5 linked regions of the Coturnix japonica genome follow. The protein of the gene in region 5 purifies or fractionates together with the protein of the main gene of each other region. This does not show direct contact. Links are inferred from orthologs where the notes say so. Each region holds a gene or a part of one and is shown on either strand. Other genes may lie near its edges.

Region 1 (4,738 bases), on a different chromosome or scaffold from region 5:
AGTATTGCATGCTATTTTCATACAAAGTCACGTGGAAACCTTACTTTCTCCATTTGATCCTTTAAGGTCACAGCAGGAAATTTCACCTTAGAAGCTTCGATTATCATTTTGCTTTTTAAGAGATAACTGGAAAACAAGTGGGGAAAAACAAGAAAAACAGTTGCAAACAAGAAGTTGCACTCATTTAGACAGACTATTTAAGCTGATTTTAAAGCAGATAAAACTATTCCCTAAAGTTCTCCATAGAATAACATGTTTACTTCCAAATCATGAAGTCCTCTTGGTATCTGCTATTGAGGCACTGGCACAGGTTGCTCAGAGCTGAGGTGGATGTTCTGTCCCTGGAGACACTCCAGGTCAGGCTGGACCAGGCTCTGAGCACCCTGCTCTGGCTGTAGGTGTCCCTGTTAGGAGCAGGGGAGTTGGACTAGATGATGAGATGGCCTGTAAAGGCCCCTTCCAACTCAAACTATTCTGTGATTCTATAATCAGATCCATCTATCGCAGACTTGTTTTGATAGCTCACGTTAGTTAAGTGGACCTGGAACTGAAGGAGTCTCAGCACCGCAAATAGCTCAATTAAAACTTTGATGTAAGATAAGGAGACTCAAAAAGTACAAGGTAGATCAGATGGAATTATGACAACATAAAACAAGAACAGAACATTAACATCCCACAGTGATGCTCTGAGTCAGAAATAAAGCAGCTTTTGTTAGGTATGTTGGCTGTATTCAGCTGGAATAACTTGCAGCTTGCCATGAAGTCCCTGACCATCAGAAGCCAGGGCAGGGCACCTACCAGAAGATGCTGTCCTTGAAGAAACAGAAGAAGCCTCGGAGATAGGCCAGCTCTCTGAAGGCAGAATAAAGAACAATGCCCACAGCCGAGCCACACGACCGACAGGACAGTGTGTTGTACGTACTGAAAGGAAACACAAAACAATTATATTATTAAAAAAAAAGCTTCTGAAAGCACGGATACTGCTGCTCACTTGTCAGAGGGCACTGCATCGCTGCCTCTGTCAGGGCAGTAAAACACGTAAGACTGCAGTGCACTGTATAAGGGCATTCAACGTGCTGTATAAGGCTGTTGCTACGCACCATCCCGTCAGGGCTCCATCCAGTCCGACCAAGAGCGTCTCCTCGCACAGCACGTTGCCGGTGACTCCTGCGGACAGAGGATTAGCTCGTGTAGCAGCAGCGCGTGGCCCCATCCCCGCCCCGTCCCGCAGCACTGACTGAGGCACACGAGGAGCCCGAGGCGCTGCTCCTCCATGGCGCACAGATGCAGCGAGTCGCTCAGCACGGCCCAGCACCCGCGGCACTGGAACACGGCGGAATCCTCCGGCCGCAGCTCGCAACACCGCGGCGCCTCCGGAGCCGGAGCAGGTGGAGCCGGGGGAGGCTCAGGGGGGAGCGGCCGCTCCACCACGATCGTGCCGCGGATCTGCGGCTCCTCCAAGAACCGCTGCGGCTCCTCGAAGAAGCGCTGCAGGTGCCGCCTCACCGCCATCTCCGCCGCTGGAGCGCGTCTCCCGCCTCCTCCACCTCGCCATGAGGGCGCTGCTATTGGGCAGTAAAGCCGTCAATCCTCGCCTCGTTCTGCCGCCCAATCAAGAAGGAGAGGGCGAGAATTACGGCCCCGAGTTTCCGGGGCCAATCGCGCTTGAAAAACACAGCGCTGGGGGCTACGGCGGCCAGTGGGCGATCACAGTGCGGTTAATCCCGCCTCCCTCACCCGGCCAAACCAATGGCAGGACGCGGCGGGCCAGTTCGAACGGCGGGGGCGGGAGCGAGGAGCTGCGCGTCGGTTAAGCGCGAGATTCGAAGAGCGGCGGTTGGCGGAGCAGCGATGATGGCGCTGCCCTCACAGCTCCAGGCCTTGGACGCGCTCAAGTACGTGGAGCTGCAGCAGGTCGCCAAGGCTGCCGGCCTGAAGGCCAACCTCAGGGTGAGCGGGGGAACGAGGGGCTCACAAACGTCTGTGCGGGCTGGGGCTGGGTTTGGGATTGGGCAGCGTCCTGTTTGTTTGATGGCTCCGTGCAGCGTTTAGTTCATGTGCTGCTTTGCTTTCTTTCTCTGCAGGCAGATAAACTGCTGAAAGCGCTGAAGCAGCACTTCCAAGGAAGAGTGCAAGGAAATGAAAATACGGTAATAAATAATAAGGCAGCCCTTCTTTTTCAGAAAGAACACTTTGTTAAACTTTGTTACTTTGTTGTGCTCTACCGTTTACAAATATTGGTTTTTTAGCACGATGTTAATTGTAATAAAAGCACTTTTTTATAGTGCTTTTAGTTTAATGTGCTCACACGTTGATAGATATGTGAACGTTTGATACGCCCTCTTAAGCAACAGAAGGCATTAATTCTGCCTTAAATGTATCTGTTAGTATCAGTACAAAACTATTCCCTGTAAACACTAAGGTTTAAGTTCTGTACTAACTAAACCCCAAGTATTTTACATCTGCAATTCAGTTAAACTGGCATTATAACAAAAGCAAAAGAGAAAGCAGCAGAGAGACCTCATTGGAGCTTTACAGTATTCAAAGGGAGCTTATAAACATGAAGGAAATCAGCTTTTTACGTGGGTACATAGTGACAAGACAAGGAGGGAATGGTTGTGAACTAAAGGAAGGGAGATTTAGATTAGATGTTGGGGAAGATTTTTAACTGACAGTGATGAAGTGATGGAACGAGCTGCCCAGAGGGGGATGTGCCCAGTTGCCTGCAGGATACTGTGACCTTGGAGGTTTCAAGGCCAGGCTGGATGAGGCCCTGGGCCCATCCCCATATTTGCTGAATATAAGGTCTACAATTATTTTATTATGTAGCTTTTCCATGAAAATGGAGTGAAGGTGTTTCAGGAAATCTAGATACTGCTAGTTACTCTACTACTTAAGCATACTCTTGCATTCACCTGTGTGAAGTGCCTTCTCCACCACTAGTGTTGAAGCTGCCCCTTCGGAGTACTTATCTCTTGTGTGTCTATTACATGTTATGGTGCTTTTCTGATACAGAGTTCTGAAAAAAGTGCATCTCCTTCAATGGACTCTGAATTTATACCTAATCCAGCATGTTTCGTCACAAAAAGATGTAAAGAAAAGAAAGCAACCAGGAAAAAGAAGAGCTCTGATATGGAAATTAATGACAGTGAAGAAAACACAGGGTCTTCTGCTGAGATGGAGGTAATTTGTGTTGCTTTCTTTTGTGTGTCTGTGTCTTCCAATGAAACTGGAGTTTTAAAAACAAAAAGGCTTGATTAATTGTGCTACCAGATTAGCAGGTAAGGGTTTCATTTTTGTATGCAGGTGTACAGAAAACAAGTACTTTCTACCACAGGTCTTGTCTAATTGGACTGCACGCTACTCCATAATGAACAGGAATGACTTGTGTGATTAGTCTAAAAATAGAAATCCTCCTGAGGAAATGCATGGTTACCTACGCTGGGTGTAGGACTGATTTCACTAGTTCATCGTAGTATCTGAATATTAAGCAGCTTCGGGATTTGGATGAGTGAGAGGGTGAAGTCAAACCTGTGCAGAAAACTTCATGGTAGAGGGAGTTAGAGGGAAAAGATGAGATGAGAGGCATTGGTCTTCACAGCATGAGTAAATGAAAGCCAGTGGTAACTAAAGCTGTAATAGTCAAAAGCAATGTAGAAATTGAGTAATTTTTTTCTTGAATATAGTTTTGTTAATAAAAGGAACGTTATGCTGAAATGTTTCAATCATGCAGATTAGAGCCTTAATACTGATAATTATAAACATTTCCTAGGTTAAATTCAGTTGCATTTCAGAAAGTCTCTTGCTCAATCTCCCCCTGAAAGCAGGGCATGCTATGAGGTGAAATCATACTGCTTGGGGCTTTACATAAGCTGTTTTTTTTTATAACTTTTTTTTATACACCACCTCTCTAGACACCCATTTCACTGACTAGCTGCTCTCAGAACGAGATCCTTTCCTTATACCCGGTTGGAACAAATTGTTTAATGAAGTATGCTTAACTGCAGGGGCATTCCGAAACAAAAGAGAATGAGGTGCCTCAAGTTGACTGTGAAAAGGGAAAGATGGTATTCCAAAATGTGGAACAAGTTACTAAAAAAATTGCTAATGAGAATCCAAGAGTGGTGGCTGCTGAGAAGACAAAGAAGACTTCTACTAAAAGCACTAGAGCAGAATGTAAGTAAAAACTTCCTTAAAAATAAGCTTTGTAGTACTTCAAATTTGCAGACAAAAAATAACCTAAAAAGTAAATGTCTTAGTGCCATGTTTAGTGATCTTTACCTTTCTGAAAATGCCAGGAAATGACCCGGAGAGGCAGCGTGAAGGTTGGGGGGGGGGGGGGGGTTAGAGGGGCTTGTTTAGGATCAGTGCCTTCTGGAATATGCCTTGTTATTCTTTCTTTGGATGAGTGGGCTTTGTCATTGCCTTCTTGGGGGTAGAGCCAGAGCTAGTATAAAACGATATGCAGACAATGCCCTTGTTAGTTTGTTAACACACAAATATTGTTAGGCAGTATAATGGTGGATTGCTTTTATGTCTGATTTTCTTGATCTTAGAGCATGATGCTACTGAAAATATGGTCTCGCTTCTCCTCTAGTCCTTTGTGCGAGCAGCTGACCTAGAGAGGAATTAAGTTTATCTTTCCTATCTTGATTAATAGATTCGCAACAAATCACTGGACACAGCCCATTATTTGCCTCCTGTTAGGTTAAATGTAACAGTCCCTGTGATGTACCAT
Region 2 (4,684 bases), on a different chromosome or scaffold from region 5:
TTCCCATGTCTTTTCCTTGGAGCACTGAGGGGCTCCCCATCCCCATTTTTTAAATCAGCCCAACATCCTCACTGTCATACACTGGGACTCTTCTGTCCCAGTCATATTTCCCTGTCACAGCTGATGGCTGGGCACAATGAGGGGCTGAGATGTCCTCTGCAGAGACAGAGTTATTTGTTGAGCCTAGAACCATGCTTCCCGTTGCTCTTTTTCATGCATGAGGAAAGGCTGTTTGCAGTAGGTTGGGCACAGTCATTAAGTACCATGGTTTTTGCAAGCACCTGGTAACCTGCATGTTGGTTTTGAGTCATGACGGTTGGTTGTTATTTTATCTTCAAGTTATCAAGCAGCTTGAGGTGCAATACCATGAGAAAGAAAGAGCAGCAATTAGTCACCATCCCATGAAATGCTGCAACTCGTTCCTCTCTCTGAATCTCATCTGTTCATCTTAGTCAGATTATGGGGAGCGGGAGGCTTCATTTCTCACCTGAGGTTTTAGTAACAGATTGAAAAAACAATGGCACTACATGGGAATATAATGTGACCATCATCTAGAAAACACACAGAGGCAGAGGGATTGGGTTCATGCAGAAACCAACCATGATCTGGGCCAAAAAACTATGGGATATATTGCTTAATCTACCCCTCTGGCTCTGTTCTTAGAATTCAAATTTTCTCTGAGCACTCCAGATCAGCTGGGGATGCTACAGAGTATTGAAGTTCCATGATATTCATGAACTCTGAGAAGTTTTGTGGCAATGTGGAAAGACGGTAAATGAGGTACCATTTGTGATGCTGTCTGTCTGGACACTCACAACAGCAAAGGCAAACTTAGCCAAATCAATTACTTTTAGTGGCATCAGCAATGGAGGGCAGCCAGCCAGCCCTACAGTTCTTTAAGGAGTTATAAAATGCACTTCATTTTTATAACCTCTGTACAATAAAGTATTGCTCTAAAAAGTGTTTCGGAGCACATGAATTCCTGCTTTCTTTCAGAACATTTTCATTCCTGAGTGCATCCTGAGCGCCCCAGAGACATCCCACACCACTGGGGTAGCACTGAGGCTGATATGGTACAAAGGATATGCAGCTCAGCTCAGCCCACCTGAGGGGCTGGGAAGGGAGCAAGGGCTGAAGAGCAAGGCAACCTCCTCCCTTAAAAAGGCTCTGCCGGGGACGGAGGGGTGTGTGTGGGGGGGGGGGGGGGGGGGTAAGGGCAGGCCCTGGCGGAAGCCCCGCCTACACCTTCCGCTCACACCTCCCTGCGGCCCCTTCCGCCGCGCATGCGCACAGAGCGGAACGGCCTATTCACGCATCCAAAATGGCGGCTGCGATGGATGTGGACACCCCCAGCGGCACCAACAGCGGCGCCGGCAAGAAGCGCTTCGAAGTGAAGAAAGTGAGACCTGCTGGCGTGGCGCGCTCTACCCGGCCGGTCCCAGCGGGAGGAGGGAGGTCGGGAGCGGCCAGGTGGCCGCGAGCGGGTCGGGGCGCTGAGCCGCTTTCCGCGCCCCCTCACGGAGCCGGGCGTTGCTTCCGCACCGGCACCGCCGTATGAGGGGAGGGGGGGGCGGTGCTTGCGGAGTCTATTGGCGTGTGTCGGGGCCAATGGGTGAGACGGGTCTCCGCGCGTGGAACGGAGGTTGGCCAATCAGAGGGCGCGACCACGCGGGGAGGAGGAGGGAGAGAGGCGAGGCGGGGCTAGTTCTGGCTGGGCCCCGCCGCCCAGAGCCGAGGGTAATGCCGGGCTTAGGGGCGAGTCGGTGCGCTGCTGTTGCCTCCTCAGTCCCGGCTGCTTTGGCTCAGTTGTCTTAGTGGCCCTACGTGATGTGAAGGGAGCTTTGCACGCATTTGTGTGGCTGCTTCTTTTTGTATTCTTCACAAATCAACTCGTAGGTGACCAACAAATGCTGTCTTGTCATCCCGGTTTGCTTTGCTTCCCCCAAACAACCATAATATCCCTCTTTGGCCTAACAACCATAATATCCCTCTTTGACCTACCCTCTCCAGTGTGGCTGCGAGCTGAATGGTGGTGAAAGATCCCAAGTTCACTTCAACGAGGCCCGGAGGTGGTTAGGAGCACTTTGTGGGAGCACTTTTGATATTGTATATTTTTTGCAATGAAAATGATTCAGGAGTCGCTGAGGGGCAAAGTTAGAGGTGATTCTGGTTGTTGGCCCCAGCTGCTCTGAGGGATGATTACTGGGAAAACAGCTACAAACAAGAGAAGTTCCAAACTGAGGATGTGGCGTGAGATGCATTCTTGCCTCCAGATTATGAATTGAAATGCAGATGTTTGCATTTGTATGGCAAAAAAAAGAGAGTGGGACTAGTATCAATTGTTTCTGAGACTGGAAGGAGGCACTGAGTGTGAGAGGTATCTGAGAAAGAATTACTCTGGTGCTGTAAGGTGTGTGTCTTTTAATATCCTAACCTTATCATTTCAGAAAGAAAGAGGATCTTGAGGAATAATGAGGATTTCCATGTGTTATATGTTGAATAAAATTTATGTTTCTCTTTTTTCCCCCCTCACTCTAGTGGAATGCAGTAGCTCTGTGGGCGTGGGACATTGTGGTTGATAACTGTGCCATCTGCAGAAACCATATTATGGATCTATGTAAGTAAATGATGGGGAAGCGTGCTTACAGTTTTGACATGTACAAGATTCACAGTTGAAATTTCCACTGCTCAGGGTGCATTTCAGCAAATCTGGTTTTCAGTTCAGAATGAAGTCTTTCGGTAACACTATAAACTCTGTTCTATGTAGTGCTCAAGTTCTGCTTTCTGTGTCTGACTGACCAGAAAAGATTCAGGCCACTGAATTTTTGACTCCTCATTCTGCCAAAGCTACTTTGCCTAAATTAGGGTTATAGTGTGGGGAATTCTGTGGCCAGCTAGAGAATCCGTTTGTTATCTATGAAGAGAATAATCTAATGCCTAAACCAACACCAAGCATTGCTAGTACTAATTCACCTTTTTTTTCCCCCCTGTATGGTCCCAACAGTCCTGTTAACAAATACACTTACTATTTAGGAAAACAAAGTGGTAGTAGGAGTAAGTATAAAAAATTCTACTGTGAAATAGGTATCCATATATAAAGTCACCGGCTTTGGTCTAATTGAGGATTGGCAATAAGAACAGAGCCATTTTTTTTTCCCCTCAAATCTTTGGCAATATATGGTTGGCACCGTAACTGTCCATGTTCTTTCAATGATAAGATACAGAACACCTTTTAACATCCCCCAGATAGGAAGTCACCTGTACTACTAAAATGGGAGGATTGTGGTACCTCAAAAAGCAAGACCTTCAGTACCTGACAAGGGCTAGTCATGATTTCTTTGTGGTCGCTTTGTTTCACTTTCTTCTTAGTAGCCCTTGCAAGTACAGCTGATGGTAACTTACTGTTAGTGAGCCAATGTGATAATATAAAAGAGCAGGGGAAAAGAAAAAGAGGCTGTGCAGTGTACCATGCAGGGCTGAAAGGGGATTAAGCAAGCTGACTTCTTTGCTTTGAGTCAGATGTGTTCTATTTTGAGCCAGCTGCTGCCTGTCCATCGCTCACTTTATTCTTGATCATTAGAAGAGGAATGGTAGCACTAAAGGCAAGCAGGTGAGAGGAGTGGTTGTGACATGTGCTGAGGACCTCTGACATAGTGCTTTACAGTTAAGAATTGAGGTTGGGTGGAATTGAAAGAATATAGACGTGTTAGGAAGAACTTCAAAGGAAGAGAGCACAGGTAACTTAGTTTTTGTTTTGTTTTGCTTTTTGAGTTGCTCAAGCATAACACCTTATTAGTTAGGGCATAATCAATGCTATCAAAAGCCCAAACTGCAAATGATGGACCAAAATTGACAGTATACAGAGTAGAAGCGGTATCTAAATTGGTGTTCTGAGTTCAGCCTTGGCTCTGGATTTACTTACTTCCTTGTTAACGATCATTAATGATGTTAAGCAACATCTTAATTAGATTTTCAAACCGAAGATGTGAAGTGATGGGAAATAGAGAAAAAATTACTAGATTGTGCAGGGAAGAACAACACAAGATTCAGTTTGATAAAGTGCAGGGCAGGAATGTCTCCCTCTCCCACTGATGAGGAGAAACCTTAAAAGGGAAAACATTACAATGGTGATAAGTAACACCAGCCACGCTAATGGAAGATTGTTAACATTATGAAGTCGAGCATCCAAAAGTTAGGATATAACAATGTTAAGGTTTCGTGCAGTCTTGCTAATGCACATACATTACGACTTGGCTGCTAATACTAAGGACAAAGGATTCCCCTGGCCCTCACTATGGCTCATGTTCGGCACATAGAAGGGATGAGTAGATTTTCAGTGGTTTTTGTTCATTTCTGAAAGGGCCCAGAATGTATTTAGATTTTCTTTGTGCAACATCCTTGATTTCTTTCAAGGTTTATTCCCTGCTGCAATGGTTGCAATGGGGCAAGTTTGGGGAATGTTGAGAAACACCATGATCATATAGTGGGTTGTCCTCTAAGTGGAATGTAGTACTGCAAGGTGACTGGTGTGCTTTGAACTGTGTGAAATGTGGCATCAAAATAGTGGACTCTCTCTGATAGAAGATGGAAAGTATCAATGTGATATTCTGGTGTCACAGAGATGGACAAATTGATTAGAATCCAAAGAAAAAAATCTCACAGTGATTTGCAGGTTGGTTTATTT
Region 3 (4,680 bases), on a different chromosome or scaffold from region 5:
TTTATCTGTTTTGCTTGTTGGTTTGTTTAATCATGAGGTTATATTTAAATGGCCATTGATGGCGGTTTTTCACCCCAAGTGCTTTTGGGAGAGAGAACAAACAGCTGATCGTTATGGAGTTTGTTTGTACCCACGAGCACACTTAACCCAGAGCAGCAAATAGTTATTGTATTGCATTTTCTTTCTTTCCTGTGGGCACACTTAACTCGATATACATGATGGTTAGTACCACGGTACTGCATTTGTCTGCACCCATGGGCACTGTGAATTGCCAGCGTGAGACAACTGGTGTATTAACTAGCTGCTGGCCCGCTGGTGTAGTTACTTCAAGGGCAACACTGTTGTTATCTGCTTAACTTAAATCGAACAGTCATGCAAAATAACAGTAGGAAAATGCTGCAAGAATCCCAGCTTTTACAGAAAAAAGATAGTTACATTTGCTCACTGCCCTCCCCTGGCTCTTACCTGCACAAATCTAGCACAGGGTTGATGTTTACTCTGCTCATTAATAAAACTAGCAGCAGATGCTTTGTCAGATAGAGGTCACTTTGGCTGAATGCCACGGCAACCTCTTCAAATAGCGTTGATTGCTAAACTATAGCTTTGACTTGGAATGGTGCAGTAGGTAATGTTGACATGCTGCAATTACCGCTCAGTCCTCACGGCGTGTTCAGACAACACCGACTACCTCCGTGCTGACTTGGCAACACCAGAACTGGGTTTGGGACGTGTCTTGTGGATGGCTGGAAAATGTAGGAATTTCAAGAGAACGCCTACATGGAGCATTAGCTTATCTCGTCAGCTTGTGTCTTGTCAGCTGCTCTCAGAACTCTGTTGGAAAATGGTAATTAAATGATAAGGCTGAGTCTAAAGCTACCGGGGCACAGATGGGCCAAGTTTCAGTGGTGCCAGAGCCAAGTTTTGCAGTTGTAAGTTTTAAGTGGGAGCTTTAAATACTCAGCAATTCTCTGTGTCGATGCAAGGAACTGGATTGGCCCTACCTAGCAGGAGTCACCTACCTTTACTAACAAGATTGCTTCTTTTTGTTCTTTTTAAGGACAGTGGTACAAGGGGAGTCAATCTGGGTGTGAGCACAGCCTGTGTGTGATCAGAGGCACCAAGAACAGGTGAGATGGGAGCTGTAAGGTGCTGCTTTCCTTACTACAGCACAGCACAGTGCTGTATTGTATTGTATTGTACAATTGTATTGTATTGCTGATTGAGCCACCCTTATCTGGCTGCCCACACACAGCTCAGCACAGACACTGTCCTGCGTGGGGTTCTTACCTTATGGAGCCAGAGCAACAGCAGCAACAACACGAGTGTCCATTAGTTATCATGGCCTGGGACTCAGGAGATCACTATGCAGCATATGGAGGCTTAACTTCCCATTAACTAAATAGAAACTGGGCTTAGGAAGAACTAAACAGCAAGCAGTGTTACAACAGCGAGCATCACCTGCTCTAAACAGCTCCAAACCGCCCCGACCCGACCCGCACCGCCATGACGGACACCGCCACCTGAGGGAGGCGCACAGGGCGGGAACGCCTCACGCCGCTCCCGGCAGCCCCCGCGTGGCTCGGCCCGAACCACGGCCCATTGCGGGGTAACGGCACGCACAGCCCGGCTCCGGTTCTGTCGGCCCGTGCCATTCCGGGACGTCGGGCTGCAGCTCCTGTTCGTCTCGCAGGAGCCGCGCCTCGATCCCGGCTCCCTCCCGCTGCCGGCCGACACGCCCCGATCTTCCCCTCCGCCTCACAGTGGTTCGCCCCGCCGCCCGGCCGCCATTTTGTGCGGCGCGTTGGAGGCGCTGAGGGCTGAGGACGCGGCGCTGCATTCCCGCCCGGTGAGACGGGTAGGAGCGGGGCGGCCGGGGCTGGGAATGAGGGCGGCGGGGATCGGGCTGTGAGCTCTGAGCTCCGAGCTGTGAGCTGTGAGCCCTGAGCTGTCCCGTGGGCTGTTCTGCACTTCCCGGCCCTGTGGGGGCTCTGAGCCCGGTGTTGCCGCTGCGGGGCCTGCGCCGCTCGGGGCGGGGCGAGGCGGGTCGTGCCCTGCCGTTGTGCCGCTCGGTGCCGCTCTGTGCCCCGCTGGGCCCGAGGCGCGTTGTTGGGGCTGTTATTGATGCGTGTTTCTCTCTCACGCTTCAGTGACTTGCAGCGAACATGTCGGAGTACATCCGGGTCACGGAGGACGAGAACGATGAGCCCATCGAGATCCCGTCGGAGGATGACGGCACCGTGCTGCTCTCCACCGTCACGGCGCAGTTCCCCGGGGCCTGTGGGCTGCGTTACCGCAACCCGGTATCGCAATGTATGCGGGGCGTGCGGCTGGTGGAGGGCATCCTGCACGCACCTGAGGCCGGCTGGGGAAACCTGGTCTATGTCGTGAACTACCCCAAAGGTTCGTGCTGTGCCTTTGTGTTTCCATATGAGTGCGCTTTGTAGTCCAGAGATCGATGTGTGTGACAGCAATTGACTTGTGTTCATCCTGCAGGTGAAGTTGAGCCCGCTGGGTTTTCAGATGCACTCAGAGCTTCAATTCTTTAGCTGCAGAAGGGCTTAGATGACAGTTTTATGTTGTGCTTGGGAGAGTTGCAGCCTCATTAGAACTTGTAAAGATGCTGGTGCTGTGTGTACTCACAGACACTTCTCTTCAAGCCGTGCTTTGGTCACAGCTACGTGAGACAAATCCAACCAAAAGCACTCCAAAATAATTAGAAATAGCCTTCTCATTAAATATCGTTGTCAAAAACCCATCTTGTTCCCATCCTCAGTAAACATTACTGGGTGGTCCTTGAGTAAACTAACACAAAACTAACTCAGAATGCATTGATAGGAGGACTTGGTCATTTATAGGAGGACTTGGTAGGTCGTTCTTTCTTCACGCTTGCAGACAGTTGGCTGTGGGTTGTAATGATAACCTCCAACAGCTGCCATGTGTTCTTCCGCTGTCTGCACTTCCTCTTAGTGTTGTCTGGTTTTATACCGCGCTGTTCAAGATTAGTGGAAGGGGTTTCTAAAGTTAGGAGGATGATTTCTAACGTACATCGTTATATTCAGATAATAAGAGAAAAATGGATGAAACAGATGCATCTTCAGCCGTGAAGGTAAAACGAGCAGTACAGAAGACTTCGGACTTGATAGTCCTAGGTTTACCTTGGAAAACCACAGAACAAGACTTAAAGGAATACTTCAGTACATTTGGAGAAGTCCTCATGGTGCAGGTAAAATACTTTTTGAGTATGGAAAGATGTTAAGTAGAAATCAGGGTTCTGATGATAGAAAGTAGAAAGGAGCAGATCTGAAGCTGTGTGCCTTAGAGCTTTGTAGTGTGGGTACAGATGGGAATATTTGGGAGTGGTAATCCACGCAGATCTGCCTAATGGGTACAATGTATTAACAGCTCTTTAGTTTATGTTGCTGATTGTCACAGCTGAGTATATGTCTTATTTTTCAGGCTTTAAAACAAAGCTTTACTAAATTAATTCAGGAACAGCATGTTGCATGCTCTAGGTTACCTCTGTCACCACTGCCTGGCTCTGTCCTGCATGCAGCTGTGTGTGCTTGCATTGTTTATATAGCAGGTCTGGCCGTGTCATTACAGTGTTACAAAGTAATTATACCCTGATGCTGATCCTGCTGTTTTAGTAACTAATACTGGGGCTCAAAGCAGTCAGAATGCATTAAATTTGTAGGTGTCAGAAGCTTGTGCTGTGACTGCATAATAGCAGGGTTAGTATCATAGGAAAAGGTAGTTGTATACAAGGGGGGTAATCAGAGATCTGGCTGTATCCTTTCTGGTGATGATATCAAGATTGATACAGAAGATGATAGGTAAATAGCATGCCATTAATGTCACCAACACAAGCACGGTGCTACTGTGTTCTGTTTTAAAGTCCGCTCTTTTTTATCCTAGGTTAAAAAGGATATTAAGACTGGTCACTCAAAGGGTTTCGGTTTTGTTCGTTTTACGGATTATGAAACCCAGGTTAAGGTCATGTCCCAGCGACACATGATAGATGGCAGATGGTGTGACTGTAAACTTCCCAACTCTAAGGTACTTTCATATTTATGACTACCTTTGTTTTGCCTAACATTCACAACTTCACTTCTATAGCCACTGTGCGAAGTGAGCAGATGAACACGTTAATAAAAGCCCTATTCGTGGTTTTGGAGTCTGAGTAAACAGGATAAAGAAAATAGAGGAGGTGGGTGAACAGGAAGTGAATGAGACGTGTTGGGGATATAGCTAGTTATATCTGCACTCAGTTTTCCAATATGAAGTACAAAATAATGTGTTATTAACATCCAGCAGTTTGTTATTTATCATGCCTGCCACATGAAACTATGGAATATCAGAATGAGTCTGTTCTGATCATGCGGATATGCAGTTAAATGTGCAGCACAGTGACGTGTCCTGCACTGGCCTTGTCACTGCCCATAACTGACTACCTTTATTTCCCTGTTCCCATCTGTACCGAGTTGCACACGTGCTCTCTGAACAGAGTTTCAGAAGTCTGAAGCTTACAAATTAAAACTTCCTTATCTTCAGTCTTCTGAACGGTTGGTCTTCATGTTGAAGTTTCCATTCATTAATTATACTTCTCTCTCCACTTCCCTTCAGCAAAGTCCCGACGAGCCTTTGCGGAGCAGAAAAGTGTTTGTTGGGCGCTGCACTGAG
Region 4 (4,838 bases), on a different chromosome or scaffold from region 5:
TGTGCCACTGCTCTGATGCTGACCCTGCTCTCCTTGCAGCCCCGCCGCCCCCACCACCCATGCTGCGGAATGGGGGGCGTGATGCCCCCCCGCCCCCACCCCCCTACAGACTGCATGGTTCCACTGAGCCCCCCAGCCGTGGGAAGCCGCCCCCACCGCCCACCCGGACGCCTGCAGGACCCCCCCCACCCCCACCACCAGTGAGGAACGGGCACCGGGACTCCATTGCCACTGTCAGAGCATTCCTGGGTGAGTGGGGCTGGGGGGGCTGGGGGGAGCCCTGGGGGTCCCAGGCAGAGCTGACACTTCAGCCTTGACTCCCATCTGCAGCCTGTTCCTGACCCGCCTGGTTTTTGTTTCTCTGCAGATGACTTTGAATCCAAATACTCATTTCACCCCGTCGAAGACTTTCCAGCCCCAGAAGAATATAAATACTTCCAGAGAATCTACCCCAGCAAAACAAACAGAGGTAGGAGGGGCACAGCGTCCCATGGTCCCCACCGTGCCCTGCAGTGCTCGGTCCTTGTCCTGCTCCCAGCCCAGCGCTGTGGCCTTTCCCCTGGGCTCCCCATGTGTGGATGCTGGCTGTGCTGGCAGCTTGCTGCCCCTGTGCTGGGGGCGTTTGGTGCTGGAGGGCTGTGCAGGGCCCTCCCTTTGAAGCGCTGCAATGGGGCAGGTGGGTTTAGGAGCCTCCCATTGCCCCAGCACTGCCTGCATCCCCATCGTTCCACGCTGGCTGCGGCACATCCTGCACGGAGCGTTGCCGTGCTGCAGTGCCAGCCCTGCGGATCCCGGGGGGGACTCTGGGGAGAGCGGCTGCCGGGTTATTTTTAGAGCCATGAATGTTTAATGTGGATTTGAAAGGCCCCGAGCTCTGTGTGCTGCAGCGGCTGCTGCTCACATCACAGCGCTGGAGTGGCACGAAGGGGGGGTTTGATGCTGGTTGTGCAGCCCTGGTTTCTCACCTCGTTCTCTCCTTGCAGCCACGCGCGGGGCCCCCCCGCTGCCCCCCATCCCCAGGTGAGGCCGAGCCGGTGCCGCTCGGTGCTGAGCGCAGCCCGGAGCTGCTCCCGCCTCCAGCCGGACCCACCCCATGAACCTGCATGAGAATCCCGGCACCTTCAGCGCCCCCGGGACACGGGACGCACCGACCCCCATCGGCTCCATCCCACGCGGCTCCCGGCCCCGCAGCCCCAGGTTGGAGCCCGGGATGGACACGGACACGGGCTGAGCCGGGGGGTCCCGTGGGGTGGGACCGTGGGGTGGGACCCACGGGGGGAGCTGTGACACCGGGACACGGGGGGTGTGTGGGCTGCGTGGGGGCTGCGGGCTCTGACCGTGCGGGGCTCGTTGGACGGTTCGGGTCCATTCGGGACGTTGTGAAGCTGCGGCGGGGACGGAACCGAACCGGAACCGGAACCGAACCGTGTGGGGCTGTTCGGTATCACGTGGGATCCCCCCGGGGTGGGGGGGCACTAAAGGGCGCCCTGAGCGCTGCGCTCAGACATGGGGGGATGGGACACGGAACCGGGATATTGGAACTGAGTTAATAAAGGAGATAACGGAGATAACGGAGATAACGGAGCGACATGGCCGGGATGGGGGGGAGATATGGGGGGGGCGGGGCTTCCCGCGCTCTGGACTACATCTCCCGGTGTGCAGCGCGCCTTCGCCCGCGCCTCCCGGCGTGCCCCGCGCGCTGCCGCCCATTGGCCGCTCTATGCCCCGCCCCGCCGGAGGTTTGGCGCGAGATCTCGCGGTTGGCGCCGGCGCCGTGAGAAGCGGCCAATGGAGTGAAGGGGGCGGGGCCTGGCCGGGCTGGTGGCGGGAAGTGCGGAGCTGAGGGGTGAATTGGCGCGAGAGGGTGAGTGGGGAGCGGGGGGAATGGGATGGGATGGGATCGGATCGGAATGGGATGGGGATGGGATGGGATGGGGCACGGCTGTGGGGCTGCGGCAGGGCAGGGGGGCTCGTGTGGGATGGTGCTGTGAGGACATGGGGGTCTGACTTGTGGGGCGGGCTGTGGATAAGGGCAGCAGTTTCGGGTCTCGCTGTGGGGCTGCGCTCCGTGGAGCGGGGCTGGGGGCTGAGGGGGGCTGCGTGGGGCCGCTGTGGGTTGGGGGCTGCGTGGGGCTGGTTGTGGGGCGGGGGCAGCTCGGGTGGTTCCGCCGTGACCGCCCCGATCCCCGCAGGCCGCAGCCATGTCCGCCGCCCGCCCGCAGCTCCAACCCACCATCGCGTTCCCCCGGCGGAGAAGCGCCCGCTGTGCCGCCAAGATCCCCCCGGCCGCCCCCGGCCCCACAGACCCCGCCGTTCTCCGCCTGTCGCCGCCGTCCCCGCGGGGCTCAGCGCTGCCCCTCAGCCCCCGCAAACGCCTGGGTAAGAAGCGCTGCCCCCCCGGGTGGGGGCGGCCCCGACACTGAGCGCCGTGACGTGACGTGGGGCTGCGTTGTCCCCGCTCACACGCGGCTCCTGCAGGCGATGACAACCTGTGCAACGTGCCCCACGTCACGCCGTGCTCCCCGGCCAAGCGCTGCAAGGAGAACCGCGGCTGCAGGGCGCTGTTCGGGGACCCCGCGGCCTCCCCAGCAAAGCAGAACAGCCCGGGACCGGCCAACCCACAGCACAGGCAGGAGACACCGCAGGGCTCGAGACGCAGCTCAGGGCCGACCCGCAGCCTCTTCAGGCAGGAAGGTGCGTGTGGATGGTGGCACGGCCCGTCCATAGAACTGTGAGCAGCCCCGGCCCGTTGCCCACCCTCACCCCCTGGTTTCTCCCCCTTTGCCATAGGAACATGTTACCAACAGGCCAAGCGGGTGCTGCACGTGGCGGTGCCCGAGCGCCTGCATGGCCGTGAGCGGGAGGTGGGCACCATCCGGCAGTTCCTGCGGGACCACCTGGCTGCACGGCGCCCCGGCAGCCTGTACATCGCAGGAGCACCCGGCACCGGGAAAACAGCCTGTGTGAGCTGCGTGCTGCGGGACGGAGGGGTGAGTGACAGACCCAGAACGTGGGGACGGCGTCTGGCACCTCCAGCCTCAGCCCCAGCCCTGGGATCCCATCTGCTCCTCACTGCGCTCATGGGCTTTGCAGTGCATGAAGCTCAGAGTGAGCACATGGGGTGCTTCTATGGGACTATATATGGTGGGCAGTGGGATGCAGACACCCCGATGTGACTCTGCCCCGTCCCTGCAGGACGAGCTGTCGGGCAGCCGCAGCGCGGTGCTGAACTGCATGGCACTGAGCAGTGCACACGCCGTGTTCCCTGCGGTGGCGGAGCAGCTGGGGCTGCCCACGGCCGGGGCAGGCGGCAGGGAGCTGGTACGGCGACTGGAGCGGCAACTGACGGCCAAAGGACCCATGTTGTGAGTCACCCTATGGGGTGGGGTGGAAGGGGACAGAGGGGGCACGGCTGGGGCGGGTGTCCCTGTGTCCCCAGTGGGGCTGTGGGCTGACTGTGTGCTGACTGTGTGTCCCACAGGCTGCTGGTGCTGGATGAGATGGACCAGCTGGGCAGCAGGGCACAGGACGTGCTCTACACCATCTTCGAGTGGCCACGGCTGCCCGGCTCCCGCCTGGTCCTCATTGGTGAGCACACACTCCCACCCCCTGTACATCAGGGCCCCACGGCCCCCACACTGGATCCCCCTGCCCTCCTCACCCCACTGTGCTCTGTAGGGTTGGCCAACGCACTGGACCTCACCGAGCGCCTGCTGGCCCGTCTGCACGCCCCCCCACTGCCCGCCCCACACCTGCTGCGCTTCGCCCCATACAGCCGAGAGCAGCTGGGTGCCATCCTGCACGGCCGCCTCCAGCAGCTGCAGGGTGGCCCCGTCCTCGAGCCCAGCGCCCTGCAGTTCTGTGCACGGAAGGTCTCTGCTGTGTCCGGTGATGCACGTAAAGCACTCGATGTCTGCAGGTGAGTTTCTGACCCGCAGTGTTTGGTGATGCAGGGCCAGGCCCAGCCGTGCTGCACAGCCCCATTGCTGCTCCCCAGCACTTCCTGCTATGGAGCTTCTCCCAGCTCTGAGCATGGGGGTGTGGGGGGCATGCAGCAGTGTGATGTGCTGGGACAGCATGGTGTTGTGTTGTGGCCTGGGGGGTCCGATCCCACCTTTGGGTGCTGACGGGGCTGTGTCCTCAGGCGCGCTGTGGAGCTGGTGGAGCTGGACGTGCGGAGCCAAACGCTGCTTCAACCACTGCCTGGGGGTGAGTGACCGACCCCTGAGGGGGCACCGACCCCTTGGTCCCATCTGGGGTCTCTGTGCCTCTGCCCATCTCGCGGTGCCTGAAGCCCTTCCCCCCTCTGCAGGTGACCCCACAGCGGCGCCGTGCCCCGTCCCCAAGAGAGTGGGGCTCCCGCAGGTGTCCCGCGTCCTCTCGGAGGTGTTTGGGGACAGGATGGCACCGTGCAGCCCTGGGGCTGGCGACGCATTCCCACTGCAGCAGAAGGTCCTGGTGTGTTCCCTGCTGCTGCTCACCCGGCACCTGCGCACACGCCAGGTCACCCTGGGCAAGGTGAGTGGTGGCCGTGGCCTCCCCAGTGTCCCTTGGGTTCCCCCACAGCCTCCATCATCCCTGAGCTCCCCAGCGTTTCAGGGTTCACTGTTGTCCCCTTGATGTCCCTGGGCTCCCCGCTGTCCCCATTCTCCCCTGGCTGCATTAACACTCGCTGCCCTCCCAGCTCCACGACGCTTACAGCCGCGTGTGCCGGCGGCAGCAGCTCCCTGCAGTGGACCAGGCTGAGTGTCTGTCCCTGGTCACCCTGCTGGAGTCCCGTGGGGTGCTGGAGCTGAAGCGCGCCAAGGACACTCGCCTCACCAAGGTATGGGGGCAGC
Region 5 (3,927 bases):
CAGCAGCCCTGAATGGGAACAGAGAAAATACTTCAGGATTAAATCAATAGGAGCTTCCACATCAGACAAGCTACTTGAGTGAAGGCCTGGCTGTGAGTTTGTTGTCCATCAACCACAAGCACAACTGACTTCACTACAGAAGTTACAAGTGAGTTACGATGAATGAAAATATTGCAGCAAGAAAAGCCACATCTGTGCCCAGGACCATCTGACAGCTCCAGGAATCGTTTCTCAGTCCCATGCAACATCTCCAGTGCAAGAAAGTAGGTTTAGGTACTTGCACACTCAGGGACGTGCCTGACAGATCTATTTTCAGACAATGCCTTTCTTCAAAAAGAAAATACATGCATCAGAGCAGACATGAAAGGAACAAAACAACTAGTATGACATTCATGTGAACCCATCTCCTTCAAATCAGGTGGATAAAAAGGCACTTTCCTTCTGCACATGCTTTAATATATTCAATTTCACTTATTTTTCAGTACATCGGTTTGAGCAAAACAACCAAGACTTAGAACTGTGGTCTTTCATCTCACTTGCTTGTTTATATGGAAGCACCAGTAACAGGATTTCAGTTCATGTGTTACATTCAAACAAGTAACAGTAATGCCCTTAGAGGAATAACTTCCACGTATGCCGTAGGCCCTGCTCCAATTAACACAGCAGCAGCTATTATTCACAGCTTAGACACAAAGCCAGCTACCCTCATCACTCCATACAGAGACTTGCACAAATAAGCACAGTCAGATTCACCACTTACAGTGAAGACTGATTAGAATTGTACATGTGGCACGAAACACTCTCCTCTACAACCTCAAAGGGATGCTGATGCTTAAAGCTCACCTTTCAAACACCGTCAGATTTTTTGGAGACGGCCATACGTCTTCAAAGCTTGCACATGCCCAAACACCGGCGTGATGATCCACGAGGTATTTCAGATGGGAATGCACCTACAAGGTATGAAGGGAAGCATCAAGTTATTATTAAAATAAAGGGATCAGCAAAAAAATAGTTGGTGATCTAATTTTAGATAGGCAACTAATTAATCACAGCTCATCATAACTCTCTTCCTAGGACAGCAAATATCTGTACACTGCATGTATTTTCTAGCTCTCCTCACAGCTCCTTGGATGTAGGCATTCCTCTGTGCACTTCTGGCTCCAGGGGCAGAACTAAGGCAGTGCGTGGCAGGAGGGGCCGGCACTCACTGCTCTGAGCAAGAGGATGTCCTCAGTGGGAAGGTCTTTCAGAACATGAAGGAGAACATCCTCAGGCAGACTCAGCAGCGTCAGGACTCGGGGCCGTTTTCTTATCTTTCGCTTGGAAGGGAAAGAGAAGCACCTGGAACAGCGGCAGTGAACCACTGCAGAACAAAAACAACACCACGGTTAGTGACAGAACAGCAAGAGGAAAAAGGCGCATACAGAATGTGTGTTTAATTAAGTAGAGTGCATCTTCAAGCACATCAACCATAGAAACTCAGCTTGCAGCACAGGACACTGGAGGACCAAACCATAAAGAAATGACTCGTTCAGTTCAGCCAATTCAAGGCAGGTGCCCAGAAGGGACGGCGCACCCCCATCACTGAGCACATCGCCCTGACCCCATCGTTTGGCTGCACTGAGCTCAGCTGTCACTGCTGCATTTCCATGTACCTCCCCCAGGCTACAACTTCTTATCAATTGATAACAGTCCTTGAAACGTGACCGGAGGGATTAGGAAGGTAAAGGCCCATTGAGCCACCCGAGTCCAAAGCCCATCGCTGTGGGCGGTGCTGCTGGCAGACCCCTCACAGCCAGTTCCATCATCTCACAGCGCACAGCACGGCCCTGCAGCAACGTTCGGGTTGAGAGCTCAGCCCCAGCACATCCGAGAGACGGGAATGAGCCGAGGGACGAGGGGGGGCCGGGAAGAACAGAGTAACGCGGGCAGGGACAGAACGGCCCGAGGCTCCCATCCGTTGTGCCGGCACAGGGCGATACCCGCCGCGAGCAGCCGGGTCCGCCGGCACCGGGAGCCACAAACACCGAGTCAATATAACCAACAAACAGCAGGAACCCAAACGATGAGCGGAACCGGCACGAAGCGCACGGACACAGCGGGGCGAGAGGCAACGGGCCGCGATGGGCGCCCAGCCACCGTCAGTCACCGTCAGTCACCGCTCCCACAGCACAGCGGGGCGCTCAGGGACGGGCCGGGCGGTTCGCGGGCGGCAAACAGCGCTGAGAGCGATCGGCAGCACGGGGACGGCCCGGGGCGCTTCCTACCGCTCACACAGCGCCCGGCACCGCTCACGGCCCCGCACGGAGCGGCACCGATAGAGCGGCACCGATAGAGCGGCACGGAGCGGCACCGATAGAGCGGCACCGATAGAGCGGCACCGATAGAGCGGCACGGAGCGGCACTGCCGCGTCTCGGGGCGAACCGCCGCCCCGCTGCGGCTCCCCCCGCCCCTCCATGTCCCTCCATGTCCCTCCATGTCCCTCCATGTCCCCGCCGCCCCCCCCCATCCCGCATCACCCCGCTCCTCCCGCACAGCGCTCACAGGAGCCGCGCGGACCGAAGGAACGCAGGCAGGGAGGCAGGAAGGCGCGCGGCCCGCACTCACCGCCCGCCTTCATCCTCGCGGACCGAACGCACCGACCCGGCACCCGAAGCGGCTCCGACCCAACTCAGCGGCCGTGAGGGGCGGCGATACCGCACGGGGCGGCGATTCCCGCACGAGGCCGCGCCCCCCCGGCTCAGCGCGGGGCCGGGAACCAGCGCGAGGCGCGGCCGCCCCCGCCCACACACACGGCGGGACCCGGCGCTGGCTCCGCCCACAGCGCGGGACGGACCCGCAGAGCCACGCCCACAGGGCGCGCGCAGCTCTTTTCAAACACAGCGCGGCTCCTGATTGGTCGGGAGGATGACGGGAGGTGGGACCCACCCCGCCCCGCGCGCCGCCATTGGACGGCGAGGATGCGAATTCGAACTGGGGCGGTTGGCGGGTCTGGAGCGCGGCGGGTACTGCGCATGCGTGAGGAGAGAGCGGCCTGCGGGCTGCCACCGCGCGGCGGGACCGGGCGGACATGGCGGGTGGGAGCGGGAGGGACCGGATACATCCGTGTGAGAACGGGGCTGCAGCGCTGACAGCTCCGTGTGCAACACAGTGTGCACTCAGTGTGTGCTCAATGTGCAACCCAGTGTGCAGCTCAGTGTGCAACACAATGTGCAACTCAGTGTGTAACCCAGTGTGCAACCCAGTGTGCAACTCACTGTGCAACCCAATGTGCAACTCAGTGTGCAGCCCAATGTGCAGCTCAGTGTGCAACACAATGTGCAACCCAATGTGCAGCTCAGTGTGTGCTCAATGTGCAACCCAGTGTGCAGCTCAGTGTGTGCTCAGTGTGCAGCCCAATGTGCAACTCAGTGTGCAACACAATGTGCAACTCAGTGTGCAACACAATGTGCAACCCAATGTGCAGCTCAGTGCAGCTCAGTGTGTAACTCAGTGTGCAACACAATGTGCAACACAATGTGCAACACAATGTGCATCTCAGTGTGCAACTCTGTGTGCAGCTCAGTGTGCAGCTCAGTGTCTGGGCCGGAGGGTTGCAGTGCTGCAGTGCGGACATGCCCGGCAGGACATGGAAAATGACAGAAAAATGAAGGAATATTGATCTTTTTGAACTGGGCAGTGCTGTGAGCTGAAGTGCTGATCACACTGTCAGCTTCTGTTCCTTGTTCTCCCCGTCGCAGCTGTTTCTGTCAACTAAAAATAAGTTGAACTAGAAAACAGAACGTGAATAATGAGCTCCCTGTGGAGAGTTAAATCCCATCAGGAGAAGCTCCTTGACCCACAGCTCCCCAGGTAGATCCTGTTCTTGGCAGCAGAGGTTGCAGACCATGGCGGGGATGAGCTGTATCACAACGCTGCTCTTCCAG

Evidence for each region. Proteins that work in one complex are often made in the same cells at the same time.
Region 1: the proteins of CCNF (region 5) and NUSAP1 purify together in Homo sapiens (affinity purification with mass spectrometry; 3 studies listed by BioGRID, with this or other methods). This does not show direct contact. The link is inferred for Coturnix japonica from reciprocal best matches to the Homo sapiens genes CCNF and NUSAP1.
Region 2: the proteins of CCNF (region 5) and RBX1 purify together in Homo sapiens (affinity purification with western blotting, with the first as the bait; 4 studies listed by BioGRID). This does not show direct contact. The link is inferred for Coturnix japonica from reciprocal best matches to the Homo sapiens genes CCNF and RBX1.
Region 3: the proteins of CCNF (region 5) and TARDBP purify together in Homo sapiens (affinity purification with western blotting; 3 studies listed by BioGRID, with this or other methods). This does not show direct contact. The link is inferred for Coturnix japonica from reciprocal best matches to the Homo sapiens genes CCNF and TARDBP.
Region 4: the proteins of CCNF (region 5) and CDC6 purify together in Homo sapiens (affinity purification with western blotting; 4 studies listed by BioGRID and IntAct, with this or other methods). This does not show direct contact. The link is inferred for Coturnix japonica from reciprocal best matches to the Homo sapiens genes CCNF and CDC6.

Annotation. Positions count from the first base shown.
Region 1 is NC_029520.1:21,982,956-21,987,693, forward strand, and holds the start of NUSAP1 (nucleolar and spindle-associated protein 1), read left to right. Parts: upstream 1-1,647; 5' UTR 1,648-1,749; coding exon 1,750-1,950; intron 1,951-2,084; coding exon 2,085-2,150; intron 2,151-3,015; coding exon 3,016-3,183; intron 3,184-4,007; coding exon 4,008-4,176; intron 4,177-4,738. Other genes in the region: OIP5 (protein Mis18-beta), read right to left, coding at 45-126, 799-921, 1,101-1,167, 1,239-1,512. UniProt on the Homo sapiens protein: Microtubule-associated protein with the capacity to bundle and stabilize microtubules. May associate with chromosomes and promote the organization of mitotic spindle microtubules around them.
Region 2 is NC_029516.1:45,482,307-45,486,990, reverse strand, and holds the start of RBX1 (E3 ubiquitin-protein ligase RBX1), read left to right. Parts: upstream 1-1,593; 5' UTR 1,594-1,608; coding exon 1,609-1,737; intron 1,738-2,538; coding exon 2,539-2,617; intron 2,618-4,684. UniProt on the Homo sapiens protein: E3 ubiquitin ligase component of multiple cullin-RING-based E3 ubiquitin-protein ligase (CRLs) complexes which mediate the ubiquitination and subsequent proteasomal degradation of target proteins, including proteins involved in cell cycle progression, signal transduction, transcription and transcription-coupled nucleotide excision repair.
Region 3 is NC_029536.1:3,498,287-3,502,966, forward strand, and holds the start of TARDBP (TAR DNA-binding protein 43), read left to right. Parts: upstream 1-1,589; 5' UTR 1,590-1,855; intron 1,856-2,147; 5' UTR 2,148-2,162; coding exon 2,163-2,400; intron 2,401-3,059; coding exon 3,060-3,223; intron 3,224-3,915; coding exon 3,916-4,056; intron 4,057-4,623; coding exon 4,624-4,680. UniProt on the Homo sapiens protein: RNA-binding protein that is involved in various steps of RNA biogenesis and processing.
Region 4 is NC_029542.1:4,070,634-4,075,471, forward strand, and holds the start of CDC6 (cell division control protein 6 homolog), read left to right. Parts: upstream 1-1,747; 5' UTR 1,748-1,864; intron 1,865-2,191; 5' UTR 2,192-2,201; coding exon 2,202-2,379; intron 2,380-2,478; coding exon 2,479-2,694; intron 2,695-2,790; coding exon 2,791-2,990; intron 2,991-3,195; coding exon 3,196-3,365; intron 3,366-3,481; coding exon 3,482-3,588; intron 3,589-3,678; coding exon 3,679-3,919; intron 3,920-4,144; coding exon 4,145-4,209; intron 4,210-4,312; coding exon 4,313-4,518; intron 4,519-4,684; coding exon 4,685-4,825; intron 4,826-4,838. Other genes in the region: WIPF2 (WAS/WASL-interacting protein family member 2), read left to right, coding at 40-249, 368-469, 984-1,024. UniProt on the Homo sapiens protein: Involved in the initiation of DNA replication. Also participates in checkpoint controls that ensure DNA replication is completed before mitosis is initiated.
Region 5 is NC_029529.1:12,341,611-12,345,537, reverse strand, and holds the start of CCNF (cyclin-F), read right to left. Parts: upstream 2,801-3,927; 5' UTR 2,622-2,800; coding exon 2,609-2,621; intron 1,364-2,608; coding exon 1,209-1,363; intron 951-1,208; coding exon 844-950; intron 9-843; coding exon 1-8. UniProt on the Homo sapiens protein: Substrate recognition component of a SCF (SKP1-CUL1-F-box protein) E3 ubiquitin-protein ligase complex which mediates the ubiquitination and subsequent proteasomal degradation of target proteins.